4 linked regions of the Drosophila melanogaster genome follow. The protein of the gene in region 2 interacts with the protein of the main gene of each other region in a pairwise test. Each region holds a gene or a part of one and is shown on either strand. Other genes may lie near its edges. The genes, in order: su(r), Dora, Cse1 and CG4080.

Region 1 (7,469 bases), 9.7 Mb from region 2:
TGTTTTCAGATTAAATCTATTGCCTATTTGAAAGTAGAGACGACTAGTTTTTTTTGACGCACAGCTGCTACTGGATTCCTACGTCGTTCCGTTTTTCTGTTTTTCTAAACTAAAATTTTCAATATCGACAAACAGCTGATCCCATTCGATAGTATCGCCTATATTAGGGATGAGAAAAGTAATATGGTAAATAATTAATGTTATATATATTTCAAAACATTAAAGTAAATTTCGTTGTTGCTACTTGAGCTTAACTGTTCGTTAATTTCGCAGACAATATATATTAATAGAATTTTTGTTTTTTTTTGCTAAAAAATTGGTCTCCAAAATCAGCTGATAGACATCGATAAAGTTGGGAAAAGCTTGAGTTGCGCGCCAATTTCAAATACGAATTTCAAATCAAAATGATTATAAAATAAGTGGATTGGTCATCAGTGATATAATAAACATAGTAATTTTTTTAAAGTTATTTTTCCTACTTTCGTATTTTTAAGCAAATAAAACTGAATGCCATCTTCTGCTTTTGAAACATGTTTTGTATTTAATTGAATTACATAGATTGGAATTTACTATCGGTATTTCGCGTAGAACTAGGGACTTTTACTGGCACTGGCTGAGAGCGTGGGTGTAGAAGATCTTCTCCTCGACTCCTCGCTTGATCACGTGCGGAATCTTCTTGGGCACCATGCTGGAAATATATAAATACATAATATAGTTAGTTAACCAGTATATATATGATGCTGGTGACATTGAGGAACCCACGTGATGCAGTCGATGATGGGACAAACGGAGACGCAGAGTGTGCAGCCCGTGCAATCGTCGTTCACGTGCGGAATGTGGGTGTCCTTGTCGAATTCGATGGCCTGGTAGCCGGAATCGGCGCAGGTCATATAGCACTTTCCGCAGTTTATGCACATGTCCTGGAAAGCACGGATGCAATTAGAAATTTGGATACTTTAATGATAACTCAGCACTCACATCATCGATGAGCGCCACCTTCTGTTGTTTGTTATCCAGCTTGTTGTATGACCCGATCTTGTCTAGCGCTGCTCCGATCACATCCTTGATTCTTGGTGCCGGATTGGGTGCTCCATTGGACGCCGGAGGAGTGGCCTTCACCTGCTCGGCATCCCAAAGAGCTCCCTTCTGACTTCGCAGCTCGGCCATCTTGATGTCGCGCTGCCGCTGGTAGGGACCAAAGAAACCCAGCGTGGCTTTGCCCTCGCCGGTCAAACGGACAACGGGCTTGCCCTTCTGATGGACCGGCGTGGGTGGTGACTGGCCATCCCAGAAGGGACCATCGACTGGTGGCGGATTCGCCTTCAGGTAGAGCAGTGCCTTCAGTGCCGTGCAATAGTCCTCGATGACGGTGAAGTCCTGGTTCTGTACGGAGGAGCAGATCTGCAGAACAGTGGCGCCCGCATGAATAAACTGCAGCGCAACCTCACCGGAATCGATGCCACCGATACCGAGAATGGGGAATCCCGGCACACGGTTGGCAATATCAGAGATGGCCTTCAGAGCCATCGGACGAGTGGCATTGCCGGAGACGCCGCCGTAAGTGGTGCGCTGCTCCTTGCCAATCGCCGGCCAGGCGGTGGAGTCCGCCTTGAGGCCCATCAGTCCCTGAACGGTGTTGATGGCCGATCCGCCATCGGCTCCTCCCCGCTTTGCGGCCGCCGCAATGGAAACGATATCCGTAATGTTTGGCGTTAGCTTGATGAAGAAGGGCAGCTTGACCGCCTTTCGCACCCAGCGAGAGATCTGCTCCACCAACTCGGGATCCTGGCCACAGGCCAAGCCCATACCTCGCTCGCCCATGCCATGTGGACACGATAGATTCAGCTCGAGGGCATCGGCACCCGACTGCTCCGCCTTAATGGCCAACTCCGTCCAGTCTTCCTCGTTGAAGCTGCACATAATGCTGGCTATCACGATCTTCTCGGGGAAGTCACGCTTCAGTTCTCCAATCGATTTCAGCCAGTACTCGGCCCGCTTCTCCGAGATTAGTTCGATGTTCAGGAAACAGCCCTGCTGCGGTCCATACTTGTAGCCCGACGTGGTGCCCCTGACGATGCGCGGCGAGACATTCGTGACCAGATCCTTGTCCAGACCGAACGTCTTGGTCACCACAAAGCCCCAGCCCTGCTCGAAGGCGCGACGTATCATGGCCGTGCTGGTGGTGGGCGGTGCGGAGGCCAGGCCAAAGGGATTCTCGAACCGGATGCCGCACATCTCCACCGATATGTCCACGGCATCGATGTCCGTATAGAAGAGCGGCAGTGCAGCCGGCGTGTCCAGTGGCAGGCCCTGCAGTTGACAATGAATGCTCCAGGCGGCCACCTTGCCATCATTGACCGACTCCACCGTGGTGTTGGCCACTCCAGCGAGATCGCCGCCGAGGAACACCTGTTTCACACTGCTCTGCATCGTCACCCTGTCCACCACGGGCAATTCGCCGCGGAATTGCAACGGCGCTAGTGCCGCCTTGACATCCTGATCCTCCAGGCCGGACCCAAAGGCGGAGATCACAAAGTTCGCCTTCAAGCGCTGCGTCTGCTCCTCATCCTCCACCCATTCATCGTTTTCGTTCTGCTCCGTGCGACAGAATTCCATGGCTGTGATCAGGCCATCCTTGACGATCACTTTGCGTGGACTCAGGTACGGCAACAGCTCACAGCGTTCGTCACGCGCCAGCTCCACCTCTTCGGGCACAGCACGAATGCCGGAGGATCCTTTGCGGAAGACGACGAACACACGCCTAGCACCACATCTCAGCGCCGAAGTGGCGCAATCGAAGGCCGTATCACCGGCACCCAAAACGATGACATTGCCATGGAGCTTGGGTAAACCGGCCGCTGCCTTGCAGGCGCACAAACCCGGTTTCGAGCCATCCGACACCAAGGGCAGGAAGTTTTTCGAGGTGTAGAAACCATTGCTGGGCTGAAGGCCAGCGAAAATGGGATTCAGCTTCGGTTCCGGCAGGCCAATGCCCACAAAGACGGCATCATGGCCGGTGGACAGGAGTCCCTGGATGGTCAAATCCTTGGTGCCCAGCGAGCGACCCGTTTCGATGCGTACGCCCAGATCGCGAACCAAATCGATCTCAAAGTTAACCGCATCGATGGGCAGACGATACTGGGGAATTTCAGCGGCACTCAGGCCACCCAGATAGCTTCTCCGCTCGTAGATGGTCACATCCCGATAGCCCAGACGGGCCAGGAAGGTGGCGCACGACAGCGATGCCGGTCCGCCGCCCACGAGGGCGATCTTTTGCGACAGCGGATTGGCCTCCGCCTGCGGTGTCCTCCGCTGCCGCACGCCCATCTTCTTGAACACCTCGGTGGCGAACTGCTGGAGGCCACCAATGTTAATCGGTCCCGCCTCGGAGGCCTGCAGATTGCAACCGCCCACGCAGAGATCGCTGGTGGGACAGACCATGCCGCAGGTCAGACCCAGCGGATTGTCGGAGAAGATCGCCTTGGCGGCGCCATAGAAATTCTTATTCGCAATGCTCGTAATGAAGCTCTTGATGTCCAGCTGCGTGGGACAGGACTTTTGGCACGGAGCATCGGCGCATTTGAGGCACCTGGCCGCCTCCTCTAGAGCTCCGCGCTCCGACAATGTGGTGTGCTTGATGTCCGAGAAGTCGTTGGCCAGCGTGGTGCACGGCGGAGCAGCGTGATCCGCATTGCGTTTCCAGTGCTTCTTGTTCTCCTTCGTCTGCTTGGTGGGCACCACGGAGCACTGCGTCTTCACTCGCGGATTTAGCGACAGCAGGTCCTAGGAATTACGAAAGGTTTTCACTATCAACGGGAAGTGAATCATGATCCAGGACCTACCTCAATATCTGGGGAGTCCTTGCTCAAAAGTTGGGGCGGACTCATCTTGCTGGCACTGTTTCACCTGTTAATGAAGTGAAAGTGGAACATATGGATTACAGACTGCGGTTGATGGCCACGTGCAGATCGGCGAACTACCCTATCCCTATCGCATCGCAGCCAGAATACCCTAATCGCGAATGGTGACTCCCAGTCGTCTTATCGCTGCCCCACTCGAAATCCAAATCGATCCTGGACAAGACGCTGTATCTAAGTGCACTAATGCCACACCATTGGTCTTATCATCTTATGTATGAGGGCGTTATCATCATATCAGTCAAGGCTGCGACGGCTAGCGGAGATTATGATGGCTTTATGATGGCACGCATATTGGCACCACCCGGTTTTCTATACGTTTCTGTATCTGCTGTTTTTCCACCAAAAGTTTCAGAACCCCAAAAATAAATGGTGCCACCCCACGAAGAGGAAAGATTAGAAACCGGCGAAGGTTACGATCGGGGGGGCCCGTTTCGCTTCTTTTTTTTTTAGCGATAATGGGGCAAGCACTCGATTCGGAAGTTCTGCTTTCGATTTCATTTAAGTATCTAGTAGGTTAAGTATCTCAAGCTGGCGTAAATGTATCTATTAAATGTATCTCAGCTTAGAAGAAGTAATAAACTAACTTCGAAATACATATTCTATTTACAGTTGCTTTTCCTTTTAACTTTGAGAATTGCCACAAATATTATTATATTATTAAATATTATTATTATTATTATATTATGAACCAAATGCCAGAAACTTTGTAAAGTAATACGCATTTAATAAAAAAAAACTGTCACCGTTGCAAATCGACGGCGGAAGTTGTTTTGTATGCCTTTAGCTGTATCTTCTAAGCATGTGCTTAATACAAAGTAAACATTATTCATTATCTATTAGCACAGTGAATTAATAATGGTAAGTAAACCGACTGTTAGCTATTGCCTAATTATAAACGATAATAAAGTTGTTTTACATATTAACCATTCTCACATTACCAATTACTTGGCTTTTTGTGAATAGCCATAACTATTTTAATCACACAAACGTGGAGCTTTGCTTTACAAGACCTTCAATCGAATTCAATTCAATTAATATTTTGTAACACGCGCTATCTCCCTCGGCGCCGCGCGCCCTCTCGCTCTCGCGCACACTCTAGCGCGCTGATTAAGAATTTTTATAGATGTATTTTGTTTTTTTCGTTTTTGTCATAATAGTTGAAGCCCCCAGCTGCTGTTTGTTCATTATCAGTTTGGCTTCGTGGTCCGGCAAGTTTTTGAATATGTTTTCATTATACGTAGGTACATATGTATATGCTATATGCTAATGGCGAAATGCGAAAAACAAGTTCAGAATTCGAGCTGCTGCTTATGCTTAAATTGGGTTTCGTTTCGTTTGATTGTTAGATGTTTTTTTCAATTTTTTTTCTTTTTGCTCATTTAGCCAAGATTGGTGGCCGCAATACATACCGATCGAAGGAACGTTATTAGCTAATTTATGAACACTTTTTTTTATTAGAATCTTTAGATTAGCACAGCGAAAAAAAATAATAATAATAGCTATTCACTAGCTGGAGTGAAAATCGACTGGCGACGGTTTGGCGACTAAAAAAAAAAACACGAAAAATTCGAATTGGTCTTCACACTGGAAACGCCCAATTGAAAATGCTCTTGGAAACCGATTTCCAAATCGTCGTTAACTCGGTTTTGCGTCGCAGTCGGCGTCGCTGCCGACGTCGGTCTTCCCATTTCACAGGGGCGTAGCCTAGCTCCCAAATGGGGGGGGGGGGGGGGGTCTTTATCAGATTTTACACACAATAGCTTTAGAGTCGCAATGAGATAACAATATGAAGTTAAGTTGCTGGGCTAGTAAGTAATAGTATATCTTTATTATTTTCTCAAAACAATCCATATATATATATATAGTTCTCGTCTGGTATGTCTTTGCAAAAACATTGTTGTCTAGTTGTTAACGTTGTTGAACACTGAGAAAAACACGCAAATCATAACGAGATAAGATCTTATATATTTATTACATAAGATTATATATTATGAATTTAAAACTCAATCTCGTAAAAGTATCTAAGAGGTTTATTTTTTATCAAATTTTTTTATATTTTCCATTTGATTTTATCACTATCCCAATTTTATCTCTAAGATGGTATCTTTTCGAACTTTTCTTAGTGTAGATAAAGTATTTCAGGGTGTGCTATTCGATCGCCTTAGTTTTGTTTGTACACTCTTCGCTCTCAGTTTCGATTGAATCAACCTTACAATTTACTACAGTAAGTATTCAGTTGAGCGAACTTCTACAGAATTTCAAATAGATGCTTTAATAATTGCAATGGTACTAAAAATATAATAATATGAATATTATTTCTTCAGTTTTCTTAGTTCAGATAAAGATTATTTACTGAATGATTAGATGTTACATTTTGCAGAATGATAGAAGTTTGCAAATAAATATTAATTAGTTGAATATCAGGTAGTTTCACTTTGGAGATTTTGCTGTAGCACATTACATCAGTTCATTCATATAATCACAGCCCAAAAGAATGCTATTTTAGAGGATTTGTATTATATATATATCGTTATTCTTTCATAAAATTTTTGATAAATATACCAGCATATTTGTTAAAAGCTAAACATTTATAAGCTTCATTTGGATAATTTTTGAAATCAAATCAAATTGAAGTTCGCATTTTGGCAGTTTACCTTTTGGATTTATTTATCAACGCGGCTTTTACATAAACTTGGCCTAGAAGTATGCAATCGTTTAATTGAAATGCTCATTCTAAAGTGTTGTGTTTAACATAAAGAATACAAATAGCTTATTTTCTAAAATGTTGCAGACATTTTAGATTGCTAACTTATTATAAAATATATAATACGTTTCCGGTGCTCCTAGCATTTATTTTTGGCCATGAGCATTTGCTTTTCTTGATTTATCTGCCATTAAATTGTAATCATATTGGCCATAAAAACGCAGACATTCTGAGTGCCAAGTTCCAAGTTGGCACTGGCCCGTGACATTGGCCATCAACTTGGGATAATCTCTAGCTGAATGGCCAGATGAATGAGTTGTTTGCAGTAGCCTTTTCTAGTCGAAATCCCCGGAAAGGCGCCACTAACGCCTGCCAGCCTCCATTGGCTGCCCATTAAAGTGAAATAAATAACTCGGGACTACAGGGGGCCAGAGATTAACCTCACTCCGTGCGTAGTAAATCAGAACGCTTAATTAATACACAATGCAGGCGGGTTAATAAATTACTTACAAAATGCATGCCGAAATTCAAATGCGTTTTTCGTCTGGGCGAAACGTGTTGACTGCCGGATTCCATTATTCACTTTCGCCACTTTTTGCAGGAATTAGAATTTGAGCGGACAGCATCTGAGTTCCATTTTCACATCGCTCATTCCTCATTTGGGTGGCATCCCAGACTTTGGTATAATTCCTTCAGAGGGCCGAAGATCGGAGAGTGATGATGGCGCCCATCGCAACTACAATATATTGTTCACTAAAACAGGGGTCGATTGGCCGGATACCCAGTAGCTCTTCACAAAACTGATCACTACTTTAGGCATTTACAATTCCTTTTCCAAATATGAA
Region 2 (4,711 bases):
CGAGGCGGAGGTGGCCATTTTGGCGAAAGACCGCGGCGGAGTGGGGCTGCGTTTCTGCAGGGTACGCATGCCGAGCGAGTAAGCCGCCGTGTCCCCCGAAGCGGTGTCCGTATCCGAGTACTCGTCATCGCTCTCGCTGGCATGTCCTGCATCCGTCTCGTACGGATCCACCTCCTTCTGATACACGTTGCTCATTTGATCCGTAAACACATCCGAAGCGACGACCCCGCCGTCGTGTTGATCCTCGTTCTCATAAAAGAAGTACGACAACTGCAGGTGCTCCTCCGCACAGTTCGTGCTCAAGGCGTCCGGAATCAAGTGGCCATTCGTCTCGAGGCGCTTCTGAATCTTTAGGAACATGTTCGGTGATACATCCATTTGGGGCAGCGTCTGCTGCGCCTGCCACTTCTCCAGCAGCGGCGGATTGGCTCCAAAAACGCCGTAGTACAGCTTGCAGGCGCGAAAGCAGCGTAGTCGGTTCGAATTTGGGCGAATGCGACGCAGCACACGCAGCTGTGACTCCACCACGTGCAAAAACATGTATTGCTGATTTCGGTTGGGCAGCGAGGTGACCAGCACCGCACGACTGGTGTTCAAACAGAGCTGAGGCAACGGTTGAGGCCACAGCGAGTGCAGCAGACGCTTGAAAAGCTGCGTTAGCGTGGAGTTTTGGAAGAAGTGGCGATCGGGGGCATTTGTCGCCGCTCCTGCGGGACGCCAACGTACTGCATCAGCCCAGATGCGAGCGGCGGCGCCATCGAACATGGTCAGCCCCAAATAACGCATGCAGCGCTGGCAGTACAAGTGATCGTCGCGATTGAGCATGCACGAACTTTCTTCGTTAAAGTTGATGACCACATAGTTGAGGCCATAGAAAAGATCCGTTTCGGCGGGCACTAAGCTAATTGGTTGGGTCTTGCCCGCTGGTCCATGATTGTGGCAAAAGAACTCAGTGGGATCCACCAAGAGGCTGGGAAACTCCCTCAACCTGCGATAGCTTCGGCCTGCCACCAATTCCGCTCGGCAATCACGACAGTTGATAGTGATGGGCTCGTTCTCCTGGCAGGAGAGGAGTAGTGGCGCCAGAGGCACGTCCACAGCGCTTCCATCCACGCTGGCCAGATCAATCTGGTTGTAGTTGAAGCGGAAACTGATGTTCCTGCCACTGACCAAGAACGTGGACAGGCAGACAATGTCCATACCATACTGCGCGTGCCGGATGAGCATCAGCTTGTCGGAGTCCTCGCTGTCGCTTTCGGAGCTGGAATCCAAGTCGATTGCCTGATTCTTAGGTTTCTCGCTGATATAAACATTGTAGTCGCGGACGACGACGCGAGTCTTCTGGCTCTGCGAAACCTGTTGGTCGAATCGCAGGAAGACCACGCCGCTGCGTAGGTTCGGGCGCAGTTCGATGCACAGCCCGGCGATGGGCATCTTGACCAGTTCCTGGGAAAGCGCGAGAAGATTGTGAACACCACCAACAAAATGGGCCTATCGTTACTTATGGTTTTTCGATATTAAGAGCGTCACTCGACAAAAACTATCGATTGTCAAGAATGAATGTCAGTGTGACCGTCATTTGAAAACTGGGAAATCGTACGCGGAAAACCGATACTATTGACCTTATCGAATATTCAGCCGAAAATGATCGAAAACCCATATCGAGTGTGTGAGCACTATCGCTGACCACTAACACCAACAACGTTTAGGAGCAAAAGAGTCGACGATGCGATGGGTAAAAACAAAGCCCCGTGTAAAAGTGTCCGAAAACCGTGCGTAGCATCAAACAAATCGTAACTCGGCCAGCGAATCTAGGTGCCGTTGTTTTCGGGGACGCGTGTGCAGTGCCGTTTTAAGTGTCGGTAATCGCCAAAATCCACAAAAAATTTAAGGATTTTTTAAAAAAACGTTCGCTAAACGCATTTCGTTCGTTCACTCACACACACACGTAAACCTAACACACGCACAGACGCAGACAAACACAACGCGCAGCGCATATACACACACAAAGAAAAGAAGGCAGTGAAAATCGACAAGCGCACGCATGCACACACACACTGACAAGCACGCAGGCGAAAAAGTGTTGATATATATCCAATATATTGATGTTGTGTGCAACGTTGTTGTTGCTGCTGCTACTGCTGTGTGAGTGAGTGAGGGCGAGCGAGAAAGAGTGAGTGCGGTGCGCGCAGGATAAAGCGAAGATGAGCCACAAAGCGAAGGAGTGAAAAAATAATTAACGGCAAAGCGGACTGCAAAGCGCAGAGCGGATAAAAGAGGAGCGTTAACAACAATAACAACGACTGGGGGTCCCCTGCAAAATCAACAACAACAGCAAGAACCACATCAACAATAATAACAGAAGCAAGAACATCAACAACAAGAACTACAACTACAAATTGGCCCTCTTATTTCGGCAGTCGCATAGCATAGCCCCATCTCGCTCTCTCGTTCGTTGGGGGATACGAAAAAGTTCACATGCAACAACAACGACAACAAACAATAGCAGTCGCAGTCGACGCGGGCAGAGGCAGCGACAGAGACCGCGGCGCACTGAACGTATTTTGTACATATAAACAAAAATAGTTTTTAAACTCCCCAAAATCTAAATCTAAACCTAAAGTTAAGTCTAAAAGGGAAACTTAGAGCCCTAAGCATAAATCTACAGTTAATAAGTTAATTAAAAGCAAGCGAGTCCGGCAGTGTGCTTGAGTTTGAAAGGGGAGAACCGAAGGAGAGGAACACAGCGAGAGAGAAAAGAGGAAGAGAAGAACGCTCAAGAGAAATTCGCCTTTTACACGATTTTAAATTGAGCGTTTGGCAGAGATCCATTATACATATACATCCATCCAAAAAGAGAGGAGAGTAACAGTGAGAGAGACGGAGGAAGAGGAAGCTGAGGAAAACAAACAAACGGGGGAGCAGCTGAAGAAGAAGAACAAGAATCAGCTTCAGCAGTAGAAGGAGCAACTGTAAACACACACAATCTCAGCCTCACGCTGGCGAATCGCAACGGCGGCAACAACAACAGAGGAGGAGGAGGCGGCGGTAACAACAACAACAATGGAGGAGGCGGAGGAGCGGCTGCAGTCGGCGCTGGCGCCGAAGGAGCAGCAGGAGGCGGCGCAGGAGCCGGAGCGGCGGGCAGAGACGCTGCAGGAGCAGCGGCCAACGAATGGAATCCGGAGGAAATGGACCGCTTCAGCTTCGACGACTCCATCCGCTTCGAGGAAGACTCCCTCTGCAGCTGGAGCTCTGAACCGGAATCGCTGTGCAACAACTGGCGCGGCTGGAAGAAGCCCGCTGCAGGCAGCGGCGCAGGCAATGGCGGCTTGAGCGGCATGGGCGGTATGGCTGTGGCCGGCGGCTCAGGAGCACCGCCGTTCGGAGGAGCAGGAGCCTCTGGTTCCTGCACACCGGGCGGCAATGGAACGGCCATGGCCAACACATCCACCTGCGGCAGACATTATGGTGAGTAGCATCTCCTTGTTGCTAGGGCGGGATTTAGGGCAGTGTACCCGGACCATTGAGCATTACACCAGTGAAACTACAGTTGTGAAAATCACAGATACAAATCTAAACTGAAGAGAGCTTCTTAAAATCCGAAAAACATTGTACAACATTGACAGTTTTTAGAGTTCGAAAAGTGTGCGTCCTAAAGATATCAAAAAAGTATCCTCTTTTATTCAGGAATTAAGAAAGACTTTCTCATAAGAAGCTTTCATATGTCGCATACAAAAGATATTGACTTCCTTAATTGTTTTTAAAACCATAAGGCAACCAAAATAGTTTATACCTATAACTTTCCCTTTACAATGAGAAACTTACATGTACATTTTATACAGATTTATATCCGTATAGCGTTAAATAATCAATTACTTGCTACACAATTTACTTTTTAAGCTAAGTAGAGTGATATGCTTTAGTTCTATGTTTTACTAGCTTGGTCGCATTTGGCTATTTGCAATATGGCTACACTGTGCTGCCTGTAATTATACGCATGACCTTTTCGCTTTTGGTAAATTCTGTAAAATTGACTTAGGCACAACAACGAGCAGGCTGTAATTGTTGTTGCCCTCTGTCTGCAATTGTCTTCTTCGTTTCCCCGCATTTCCTCGAAGTCCTCTGCTTATCGCTGAAGTCAAAATCACGACTTTGGCTGCCAACGTTTTTTATTTTCATTCGTTTATACGAGTTTCCTTTTTACCTTTTTGTTGCGTCCCTTTGTCTTTCCCTGTGGCTCATTACGCTTGTGCATGTGGCTGGGGTATTGTTTTTTTTTTTTGTTTCGGGCCTGCCAAGAGACGTTCCTTACACGTTTTCTGTATCCTGTGCGCCGCCGCACAGCACTATCATCATGTAATATCTGGATATCTGGCTGCGACTGCGCAGTTCGTCCTCGTCGCTGTTTCTCTTTCGTATCCTCCATTCGTCTTCGTCATTTGCCCATCCACTGCATTCGTTTGCTTATTTTCCTTTGTTTGACTGAGCAGTGTTGCTGTGGGGGGAAACAGGACTATATTTGGAAGGGTCAAAGGACTAAACAGAGCGGCAAAGCCGCCAAAGAACCTCCAACCATTCAGTTGTCTTCTTTGTGGATTCTTTGATAGCCAGGGTTACCAGCTTGTTGATTTTATTGATATTTATTGATACTAAGCACTAGTATTACAAAATATAGTATATGTACTAGGCAAAACTAGCTGAACTTTGC
Region 3 (6,551 bases), on a different chromosome or scaffold from region 2:
TAAGCTCACATATGATCGACAAATGTTACTTGAAATATAGGAAAAAAAATTGTCTGTTTTGGCTTGGGCAGCGATGAAGTGTGACCATATGCCGCATAAACAATCGATAGATCGTGTATTCTAGGGAAGGAACTATCGAACAAAGAGCTTAATAATTACATTTTTTTCGTTTCATATAATTTAAAAATTAAAAACATTTTATTTAGTTTAAAATTTGATTTATTTACATGACACTTAAATTCATTAACAAATGCATTCAATAACAATCTATTTGTGTTAATCAGTACTACATGCATGTGCAAAAGTCATACAAAATATGCTTTGTAAATTGGCAATCACAAGTTTCCTTCTTAACTTGCATTCTGGCTTATAAATTACGAAAAGTACACGGACCCGACCGATGCAGATATTTCAGTGTTGCTCCATTTTTAAATGTTAACCTTTTTTGAAACCTAACTACTGTAGTCGGTGCCGTTGAGCGAGTTTTTGAAATGCTGGACGACATAATCGTGATAATAGGCCATTATGCACAGAGGCTGACCAAGAATAATGGAAGCCCACACGATTATATTGCCCATTCGGGGACCCAGTTTCTTTTCAATGGATTTGGATATGGCCGATAGGGGAATCTGACCCATCATGCCCATAAATGCCCAGATCTTGTATATTTGCAAAGGAACTGAAACCTGAAAATATAAATTATATTATTGTACAAAATTTGAAATTCTAAATATCAACCCTCATACCAAATATTCATGGAAGACGGCACTGAAAAGAAAGACAATAGTAGAGGCCTGTCTTGAGGAATATCCCATTTGGACCACAGGGATGTAGAGATGACGCACGCACCACCTATGAACTGGCATGTTCCATGTACGCCAGAAGGTGTCAATGTTATTCGCATTCCACCAATCACAATAAAAATTGCGATCTGCAAAATTCAGCAGTTCGCCGACCGCATTAAGAAAAGAGTGGAACATTAGATAGAAAAAGCAGAGCCAGCAAAGATGATTGGGTAGCTAATTAAAGAAAAATTATTAAATAATACTCAAACGTTTTATAATTTTCACTCTACCAACCGCAAGTTTAAGAAGTCGCTCAGTGGCTAAGGCCACGTCCATATTGGAGAACGGAATCAGGGAGTTCCGAACCGATGGAATGATCCATTGTTGAAACAAGGCCATAACCACATTCACTCCAATCACCACCTCCAATAAACGCTTCAGCAAAAAGCGTTTGCGCACGCGAGAAGTTCGCGGGAAATTCAACTCATAGCAGAGAGTGGGCGCGCAAAGGAAGTACAGGAGATCCTTGTATGTGAGATTATCAGGATATTGCACCAGCTTGGAAACGTCCTCGTCTTCTTCACCTCCATTCAAAACTCCTTTTTCTGGATGAAAGATGAATTTTTAATATATGACATTCCGTTGAGAGATCTCAACATACTTAGTTCCGCCAAAGTTATGCTTGGTCGACGCTCCCGCGGATTCTTTTGATAATAAGTCTGACGGCACCACATATTCGTCTGCACATAGGACCATAGTTTTAGGAACAACACAGAGTAAAAGAAGCAAACTGTTGAAGCGCCCACTAAAGATTAACAGATAATTAAATATTTTAAAATACACCTAAACTAAGTTAATTTCTCACTCAAACTAAAAGCATGTCCTTTTAGGTGAATTGTTACCACCGGTAGGCAAACCAAGACAACAATGTTCACTATCTGGATGAACAAGCCCAAGCCCTCTGCAATTATTTCCTGGAAAAGAATTACAAATTTGTTTTAATTTTTAATTCATTCAGTTGGTTTTTGAAAAAAAAAAACAGGAATTGATATCATATCAAATGATACTAAATTAGTAAAGTTCAATATGCGATATTTCTGATATGAACATTTAAAATCTAAAACCATCGAATCCTAGTAACAGTAACTATAAACAATCGATATCGAAAACTCGCCCTGAGTTCCATCCCCAGATCGGCGAGCATTGTGTGCGAAAACGAATTGCGATTTCATTTCATGTTGCAAGAGTGTGGAGGAACAAGCCACGAGTGATATAAATTAAAGCAAATAGGACCATCGAAAAGAAAATATACTCAAAATGGAAGTGACAGAGGCAAATTTACAGCTGCTGGCCGGTTATTTGCAGCAGACGCTGAGCGCCGATCCCAATGTCCGCCGGCCGGGTGAGTGTGTGTGTGTAGGAATGCATGTGCACACACACAACTGCACATGCGTGCAGGGGTGCTGATGTGTATGTGCGCGGGAAATGGTTTTTGGCGACGCCAAAGAAAAATACGGTTTTTAAATCCATTTGAAGTTGTCTACAAGTTTTCCCTATGTCAAAGAATTTATACAGTCACGCTTTCTATTAATTGAATCGAGATTAGCTGATCTTGATATGACTGTTGCCAAGCCACCTTTCAAAACCATAGACCTAGTTTTAGGATTATTTAAGGCATACCAAGCCTATAGACTCCGCACCACCATAACCAAGCTTTTGAAAATATTGTATAAAAAACTTATTGCTTGAATTGAAAATATGTTTAGTCTAACGAGAAACACTGTAAGCTCCTATCGGTTCCTTATATATTTGTATTTGCAACATCCGATTTACATAAGTACAATAGTTCTAACAAACACACCATTTCCTTCTCTACTTTTATAGCCGAAAAACTTTTGGAGTCCACGGAACTACAGCAGAATTACCCGATCCTACTGCTCAATCTGATAGACAAAGCCCAAATGGACATGACTACGCGGGTGGCGGGAGCCATTGCCTTTAAGAACTATATTAAGCGGAATTGGGCAGCCCACCTTGACAGCGACGGACCGGATCGCATCCACGAAAGTGACAGGAATACAATTAAGACCTTGATCGTTACGCTAATGCTCCACTCACCGGTGGCATTGCAAAAACAACTAAGCGACGCGGTCAGCATCATAGGCAAATATGATTTTCCCAAAAAATGGCCGCAGCTTATCGACGAGATGGTGGAGAGATTTGCCTCTGGTGATTTCAATGTCATCAACGGCGTTTTGCAAACCGCACACTCGCTTTTCAAGCGCTATCGTTATGAGTTCAAGTCGCAGGCTTTGTGGGAGGAGATCAAATTTGTACTGGATCGTATGGCTAAACCTCTGACAGACCTGCTCCAGGCCACAATGCAGTTGACTAAGGTGCACGAGAACAATGCCGGCGCCCTGAAGGTCATCTACGGTTCATTGGTCCTTGTGAACAAGGTGTTTTTCTCGCTCAACTCCCAAGATTTGCCGGAGTTCTTTGAGGACAATATCAATACGTGGATGGGAGCGTTTATTCAGCAACTAGCTGCGGATGTGCCATCCCTGCGTACTGCAGATGATGAGGATGCGGGTGTTCTAGAGCATCTGCGTGCTCAAGTCTGCGAGAACATTTGCCTTTATGCAAAAAAGTACGACGAGGAGTTCAAGCCATTTATGGAGCAATTTGTGACTGCAGTTTGGGAGTTACTGGTCAAGACAAGTTTGCACACCAAGTACGATTCGGTAAGTAACAGAAACCATACGCTTTCTTAATAATTATTTTTATAATTTTTCCATTCTTATTTTGCGCACAGTTGGTCTCCCATGCTCTGCAGTTCCTCTCTGTGGTGGCTGACCGCCAGCATTATCAGAGCATTTTCGAGAACCCAGAGATTCTTGCTCAGATCTGCGATAAAGTTGTCATTCCCAATCTAGACATCCGGCCCTCAGATGAAGAAATTTTCGAGGACAGTCCGGAGGAGTACATTCGAAGGGATATTGAAGGCTCTGACATTGACACACGACGTCGGGCGGCATGTGATCTGGTGAAGACTCTATCAATCAACTTTGAACAAAAGATCTTTGGCATTTTTGGCCAGTATCTAGAGAGATTGTTGACCAAGTACAAGGAGAATCCGGCTACCAATTGGAGGTCAAAGGATACGGCAATTTATTTGGTTACTTCGTGGGCATCTCGAGGAGGAACTCAAAAGCATGGCATCACACAGACCTCGGAGTTGGTTCCACTTCCCGAATTTTGTGCCCAGCAAATTATTCCAGAACTGGAAAGACCCAACAGTAAGCCCAAATAACCATTTTCCCAATTCGATCATCTTATATCTGCATTCTTCCAATGCTCTTTGCAGTTAACGAGTTTCCTGTTCTTAAGGCTGCTGCAATTAAGTATGTAATGGTGTTCCGCAGCATTTTGGGTCCCCAAGTCTTAGCAAGCTGCCTGCCCCAGCTAATTCGACATCTCCCCGCCGAAAGCTCTGTTGTTCATAGCTATGCTGCTTGTTCAGTGGAGAAGATCCTTTCTATGCGGGATGCTAGCAACGCGATCGTTTTTGGTCCTCAGATTTTAGCACCTTACACAACTGAACTAATTAGTGGGTTATTTGCGACCCTTTCACTCCCAGGTTCCGGTGAAAATGAGTACGTAATGAAAGGTGAGTTTGGGGGACTATCTCATACGTTTCTAATATGTTAACAAAACTCTAATTATTATTATTAGCCATTATGCGAAGTTTTTCGGTCTTGCAATCGGCCGCCATGCCCTTTATGGGCGTCGCCCTTCCACGGCTTACCGAGATTCTCACCCAAGTGGCCAAGAATCCATCGCGTCCGCAGTTCAACCACTATCTTTTTGAAACGCTGGCTCTGTGTATAAAGTAAGTGTTATGCATTTTGGTGGTAAAGAGCAATAACAAATTTTCTTTTTCCCTAGAATTGTTTGTCACGCCGATTCCTCGGCTGTGAGCTCCTTTGAGGAGGCATTGTTCCCAGTTTTCCAGGGCATCTTACAGCAGGACATTGTCGAATTTATGCCCTACGTCTTCCAGATGCTTTCTGTGCTGTTGGAAATGCGCGAGGGCACTGGTACCATACCGGAACCCTATTGGGCTTTGTTCCCCTGCTTGTTGTCACCAGCTCTGTGGGACAGGACGGGCAATGTCACACCATTAATTCGCCTGATTTCTGCTTTCATCAAGCAGGGATCTGCTCAGATTCAAGCCTTGGGTAAACTGGTAAGTTATATTATACATCACAAATTTTATTTTACAGAGTCCAATCTTATGCATTTTTCAACATATATTTCAGAGCGGTATCCTCGGAATATTCCAAAAGATGATTGCCTCCAAGGCTAATGACCATGAAGGGTTTTATCTTCTCCAGAATCTGCTTTCCTACTACCCTCCCGCTGAGATTCAAACTAATCTTCGTCAGATCTTTGGCCTGCTCTTCCAGCGATTGTCTCTCTCAAAGACTCCGAAGTATTTAAGCGGCATCATTATCTTCTTTAGCTTTTATGTGATTAAGTTCAGTGGCAGTCAGATGGCTCAATTGATAGATGAGATTCAGCCTAACCTATTTGGCATGCTGCTGGACCGCGTGTTTATCACCGAAATGGGCAAGATTCCCAAGGAACAGGATCGCAAAATGGTGGCCGTGGGTGTCACTAAGCTACTTACAGAAACTCCTGAGATATTGCAGCAACAGTACGCTACTTTCTGGCCACGACTGCTGCATTCTCTAATCGATCTTTTTGAACGACCACCAGAGAAATTGATGGGTCTCGAAATAGGAGAGACAGCTGGAGTTGCCGAAGATCCCGATGCGGGCTATCAAGTGGCATTTGCCCAACTGACTCATGCCCAGCCCAACCAGCAGGATCACCTGGCTGAGATTAAGGATGCTCGCCAGTTTCTAGCAACTTCGCTCTCTAAGTTTGCCCAGGCTAGGGCAGGAGAATTTTCCACTTTGTTGTCGCCCCTGGAGCCGGAGTACAAGCAAGTACTCCAGAAATATTGTGATCAGGCTGGAGTACGCATTGCCTAAAGGAATCGACCGACTTTAAGCTCATTCATCGCAATCAAACCTCGCCATACATTCGAAAATTTATGCATACACGCACTCGATCACTCATTGCATGCCCAGTTTATTGTCATTTAAAAATTGTATCTAATATATGTAAGTTTTGTAAACAATTAAAAATTATGTTTTCCGAAACTAGTGTGTTTCAACTGCGATAACTTCTGAATATTTCATACTTTTCTCTCTGATAAACAAATCATTTCTTGTCAAACACCCTTCACTCAATTTCAAAATTGTGAATTTAGAATTAACTAGATATTTCGAAATTTATCATATAAGCCATGTTCAAGCTAATAACGTATTTCAAGTCACGATCGAAGAAAATAGGCGTGAGATGCTATCAAAGTAAGTACTTACCATGGCTAGACCCTTCTCCACAGCCAAACAGAGCGAGATATGCACTAAAGAGTCTGTAAAATATGGTGAGACGAAGGTTATCAATTTCGTTTGCGTAATCCTTGATTTTGTGCGTGCTTACAAATGCTCAGGATTAGGGCGTTATGTCCTTCGCCTTCGTTGTGTCCGCTTATGAAGAAGAACCAATCCAGTGGATTGATGCGAATGCCATACCTAAAAAAATAATGAATTAGCTAAAACTTGTATTTCTACTCAAGATCATCGTAGTTACTTTAGGAGATTCTCCAAGCCCAAACGCAGACCTCCAATGCAG
Region 4 (5,041 bases), on a different chromosome or scaffold from region 2:
GCACTTTTTGTTGCTGCCACTGCGAAAGTGCTTCCGATGGAAATTTGCGAATTCCCCGGAATCGTGTACTTTTCGGTAACCAAATATTTACGTTCGTTAATCTAATTTGAACTTATATTCGTTTCTTATCGCCGTTTTTTTTTCTTGAGAAATAAACGGCTCAACTATCGTTATGAATGTTGTTTATAATTAGCTGATAAAAGAGGGGAAAATTTGTTTATCAACAGAGAGTCGAATATGAATGTATGTACTATGAAAGCGGAACTGTTTTCAAACTGAAAGCCAAGATTAATATTACAAAATTATACTTTGGCTCAACACTTACTGAAAATGAGTAAGAATATAATTGTTGATTTCTCTGGATCTGATAACTAAGTTTATATAGCATATTACCCTTAAATCGCCTAATTATGCGAGGGTCGTTTGGTAAATTCACATTACGGGGGCATTTCGTGTTATTTGCGTAAGATTTGGGTCTTTTGAGCGCTTCATTACCACCCGTGCCCACTTGTAATTACGACTAAATTAGCGCATTTTATTAAATTCCACGCCCGAACACAACGGAACGGGCCACGCCCTCACCAGCTCCGCCGGACCAGATGAAACAAGTAATCTTCGCATGGCGCAAGGAACCGGATGATTCCAAGGGATGGATGGGTGGTGGAGGGGGGAAGGGGGAAATCGGAGTCAGGCGGGGTCCAATTCAACTGTTTTGCGCTTTGTTTTCGCTGCCTGTTCGTTTGCTTTGTTCGAATGCTTTTTGATAATTTGCGCATTATTTTTTTTTTTTTTTTAGCGCTCTCTGCGTGTAAAACTTATTTTAAAGTCCAAAACCCAACTGGTTTAAGTTCGAGGCAATTAATGCAAAAGTTATACCCCCCCAACTGGCGCCACCAAAAATATACATTTGCATACATATGCAATGTATGAATGTTTGTGTGTGTATACACATTGCTATTGTTTTGGGAAAACCCATGCGAAATGCAAGCTTGAGAAAATTCGCTTCTTATCAATGGTTTGTTTTTCGCTACGCTCCATTTTACATTTTCACGATAGTCGACAAATATTTGATCGTGATGGCCCAAGCCGATACAATAGCCAATGTTTATTCAACAACGACACCTGAAATAACAGCAAAGTGAGACACATTTACTCACTCCGGCGACAGATTAGATTTGCGATGGCCAGGTGATAAGGCTCATCACACTGACATCGGGGGTGTTGAACGGTCTGTATTTCACAAAATACGAGCATACATATATAAATTATAGCTACGCAAGAGCCGCATTTCTCAACATTCAAATACAATTGAGTAAATATGTTTATTTAAGAGCGTTCCATTGAAAATTTGATGAATAACTAAAGATAAAGATACAACATCTATGAGGCAAATAAAAGTTGGTAGCCACAAATACTAATACCAAACAATACGAATTAAGTGAATCGAAAAGCCAGTACCATTAAACTGCTTTAGTTATGGAGAACGTCTTCAATGACTGATATATAATTATATTTATGATTTATCTTCATTTTAGACCTCATTGGCTTCATTAAAAGTCGTAAGAGTATTGGGTATGGTCAATGCCCCGCTGTCACGTCAGATTGCAATATAAATAAATCGCGCGTAATTTATAAACCTATAATTGTATAAACAGATAACAGCTGGCGCCTCGCGTCAAGATCTTGTCACCTTCCCAGCATCGTAGTGTCCATATTTGCATTTCAATCGAAGTTGCCGATCGGCATGGAACTAGTATGGTAAGTAAGTAAGTACAAGTCAATGTTGTTAACTATTGCCTAATGATTGTCATTAGCAGGCGTTAGATGGGGATTACGACGATTGAGATCTCAACAGTTGATGTTGGTGCAGAGCAACAAATTAAGGGAATGAATCAATCGCTGCTTGAAATTGGGTTATTTTCGTTTTCATTTCGATTAAGGTATATCTTATCTGCGTGTCGGTATGGACAGCTGGATTTGTTTATTGTGGCGCAAAGAACACACATTGATTTTTAGCACTTGCAGCCTGCGTTGAGAACTTAATTATTGTGATTTCCCAAACGACGAACAATCAAACATTTAAATCATGTCCGTTTCCTGGCTATAAATAAACAATGGACAATGCCAAGAAGAATGTCAACCATCCCACGATTTTTCAATTGCGTGCTTGCACTTGATTTTATTTTATTTCTCGTTTTTCTTTATTTTACTTTTTTTTTTGTTCTTTGGTGTACTTGAATAACTTATAGGATTCCTTTTTTTTTGGCCATATCAAGGGCATTCAAAACTCACCTGACATTCGCATAGTGCTGGCCGGAATTCCAATCCACATGCTCGATATCCGAAGAGGTTTTGGCGTTGTCGCAAGGCATTTTGTTCGTAACTCGCTCTCTCTCTCTCTCTCTATAGCACTATAAACTCGATTGCAGGGTATCGCATAGTCGGGGCGATGCTGCACCGCAACGCGTGGGGGGTTTTCAACCCCAAAAAGGGAGGGGGGTGGCGGACGCGGGGGAGGAGAGCTCCTTTGTCTTTTATGCTGGCTAGTCTTGCGCCTTTGTTATGATTCTCCTCCGCTGGCCATATATTTGTTTATTCCCAACGATAAACAGAGGCTGTCGCCTTCTTTATTTTTAGCGACCCTGTTGGCAGGGGCTACTTCGATTTTTTGCACAATGTAAACCGAATCTATTGCACTGTTATTCTCCTTTCATTTCGTTTCATTTTTCCCTTTCAACGCCAACGAACTTCTGGCCGTGTGTGTGTTTGTTTGTGTTGGTTAGCTGGTCTATTATTATATCTTTATTCCGCGACAAACTTTAGTGCGTTTGCTTGTTAATTTGTTGTTACTGGCCCGGTACGAGCTGTTCGTTCCACTACTCTACGCTAAATGGCTATGCTTGTTAGAATTGCACATATATTTTATGTATTTTATTTAGCTAAACACGGAGACATATCCTTACACGATATCTACGAGCGACGCGACCAGTGTGACTGCGCCTACACAATTGAAACATGTCACATGCAGTGTGACCGTTCTTGGCTGAATGGAAAAGCTCTCACTCATATAAAATTCAATAATAGGTTAATAAAAAAAAAATACTGACTTATTTTTTAAATACAAACGTATTTACTCTAACAATATAAGTAAAAAGCTAAAATTATTTTAATGTCTATTTAGGAAACCTATCGATATATCGATACACATTTTTTTTTGGCCACCCTAGAAATTGCTAACGTATTTTTAGCAACAAATTGAATTCCAAATTTGGAAGTTTTGCTTTAGGTGCCCATATTAGGATACAAGCTCGTTTTAGTAATACAACAAGTAATTATCCCAAAAACAATATAGGTTAACTTTTTTCTATTTTAAAATATCTCCAAAATCAAAGATCAAAAGTATCCGGTTTTAATGTAGGTTTTTATTAATATACTTTTCCGTCTAATCCATTATTGACAGTGACTACAAAAAGCGGATAGATTTTATATTATGCCGATTTTTGATAACAAAGGGGGTTCCGTTTCGGTTTCGTTACGCGGGTCTTAGACAATAGTCACGATTAATCGCTACTGTTGCTTATAACGATAAATAAATGAAAGACAAAATAATCAGTGTGGGATCGGACCGAATAAGGAGCGGCCAGTTATTAGCCGCCTACAAAGTGTAGATCGATTTCACGTTGGAGCCCTGCTTGACCATCGTGTCCTTGTGCAACTGATACTGCAGCGAGTTGTTGCGTCCCAGACGCAGGGCATCGCGCAGCTTGTGACCAATCTCAAGGGCAGCTTCCTCGTTGTTTCCGTCGGCAGTCCAGATGGCTGGAAAGCATTAATCGTTAAACAAAGGAATTCCGCTGAAGTTGGGTGTGCGTGAAAACTTACATATCTTGTTGCTCTTGCCGCGAATGTTTATAACAGCGCCGCAGATCTGATCAGAGTGATCGAAGGCCTCACCAATCAGGCAGAGCAGCTGGAAGGCAAAACAGTTGTAGTTACTCATATGCGAAAAATATTTATGATATAAGCTCACTATTGAATGTTCCTAAGACAAAAGCTAGCACTAGCGTATTTTTAGCTGATATTTTCTATAAGTTATAATTTATATTGCAAAATCATACACCTATTTCTATATTTTTGCATTTCAAGAATGTACATTCACTATAAATAGACCATCCGCTCACCACTCGTTTCTTTGTGCACTTACCACATCGAGCCATAGGTTATCCAGATCGGTCTTGGAGCTTTTGTTAAGGGTAATGACCCAACGACCGCCCTGTTTGTTGGCTGCATCCTCCCACATGGGACTGCAAATGAGATATCAGTTAGTAAAGGTTATCTTGGCAGAATTGCAATAAACAGCAAACCCACCGAATGTTCTTCTTGAATAGCGAGTAGTCACTACCCAGCTTGATCTCTGATGGGGGCTTGATGTGGTTGTATAGGCTCCAGAAGTCCTCGACGGTATCGAAGCTGGTGATCTCGTTTTGCATGTCCTCCCAGGACTTGGACCGATCGTTTTCAAGGTACCACAGCGTCCAGACATTCATGAGCGGGTGTTTGTATAAATGCTCGGTGCGCACAGCATCGTCGCCGGCAGGAGCAGTAGTGGTTGCAGTGTTGCCTGCTGGTTCACCAGTCTCCTGTGGGTCCTCCTTGGGCTTGACATCCTTAGCCTCGGCGGGCGCTGCAGCCGAAGTTGGTGGTTCCGGACGACCCTGCTCGGTGCTGGGGGCGCTGGTCTGCGGGAGAAGATGGCAATGGATGGGAAGGGGAATCAGAAGATTAGATTAGCTTGGCTTAGCGACAGGCGCACTGAGAGTATTACTTTGAACATGGACTTGGGATTGGCAAAGTTCTTCATTCTGTGAAAGTCGCTCTGCATGTTGGCGGCCGTGTTTATTGGATGCGTTTGATGGTAGGATCAGTTCTTTTTCGGCTCCGGAGTGGGTTCGGATCGGTTTCGATTCGCCGTGATTCACTTGCCGCTCTCTCTCTGTCGCGGTGTTTGTGATAGTTGATAGTTGGTTGGTGCGTGTGTGTG

What was found.
Region 1: the proteins of Dora (region 2) and su(r) interact in a two-hybrid assay, tested with the Drosophila melanogaster proteins (one large-scale study listed by BioGRID).
Region 3: the proteins of Dora (region 2) and Cse1 interact in a two-hybrid assay, tested with the Drosophila melanogaster proteins (one large-scale study listed by BioGRID).
Region 4: the proteins of Dora (region 2) and CG4080 interact in a two-hybrid assay, tested with the Drosophila melanogaster proteins (one large-scale study listed by BioGRID).

What each region holds. Positions count from the first base shown.
Region 1 is NC_004354.4:9,196,291-9,203,759, forward strand, and holds su(r) (suppressor of rudimentary), read right to left. Parts: upstream 5,531-7,469; 5' UTR 5,330-5,530; intron 3,907-5,329; 5' UTR 3,888-3,906; coding exon 3,843-3,887; intron 3,784-3,842; coding exon 979-3,783; intron 921-978; coding exon 763-920; intron 689-762; coding exon 601-688; 3' UTR 518-600; downstream 1-517.
Region 2 is NC_004354.4:18,862,249-18,866,959, forward strand, and holds the start of Dora (dorado), read left to right. Parts: upstream 1-1,701; 5' UTR 1,702-3,191; coding exon 3,192-3,471; intron 3,472-4,711. Other genes in the region: CG7326 (uncharacterized protein), read right to left, coding at 1-1,434. UniProt on the Drosophila melanogaster protein: Substrate recognition component of a SCF-like E3 ubiquitin-protein ligase complex that promotes target-directed microRNA degradation (TDMD), a process that mediates degradation of microRNAs (miRNAs).
Region 3 is NT_033779.5:16,820,618-16,827,168, reverse strand, and holds Cse1 (chromosome segregation 1), read left to right. Parts: upstream 1-1,961; 5' UTR 1,962-2,102; coding exon 2,103-2,187; intron 2,188-2,669; coding exon 2,670-3,529; intron 3,530-3,600; coding exon 3,601-4,084; intron 4,085-4,152; coding exon 4,153-4,455; intron 4,456-4,520; coding exon 4,521-4,677; intron 4,678-4,733; coding exon 4,734-5,034; intron 5,035-5,107; coding exon 5,108-5,845; 3' UTR 5,846-6,013; downstream 6,014-6,551. Other genes in the region: mdy (midway), read right to left, coding at 453-686, 747-1,019, 1,080-1,390, 1,447-1,590, 1,651-1,759, 6,239-6,291, 6,360-6,451, 6,510-6,551; CG13280 (uncharacterized protein), read left to right, coding at 6,163-6,226. UniProt on the Drosophila melanogaster protein: Export receptor for importin alpha. Mediates importin-alpha re-export from the nucleus to the cytoplasm after import substrates have been released into the nucleoplasm.
Region 4 is NT_037436.4:9,396,215-9,401,255, forward strand, and holds the start of CG4080 (uncharacterized protein), read right to left. Parts: upstream 3,014-5,041; 5' UTR 2,373-3,013; coding exon 2,293-2,372; intron 1-2,292. Other genes in the region: eIF4E1 (eukaryotic translation initiation factor 4E1), read right to left, coding at 3,656-3,819, 3,883-3,970, 4,205-4,304, 4,369-4,739, 4,826-4,882.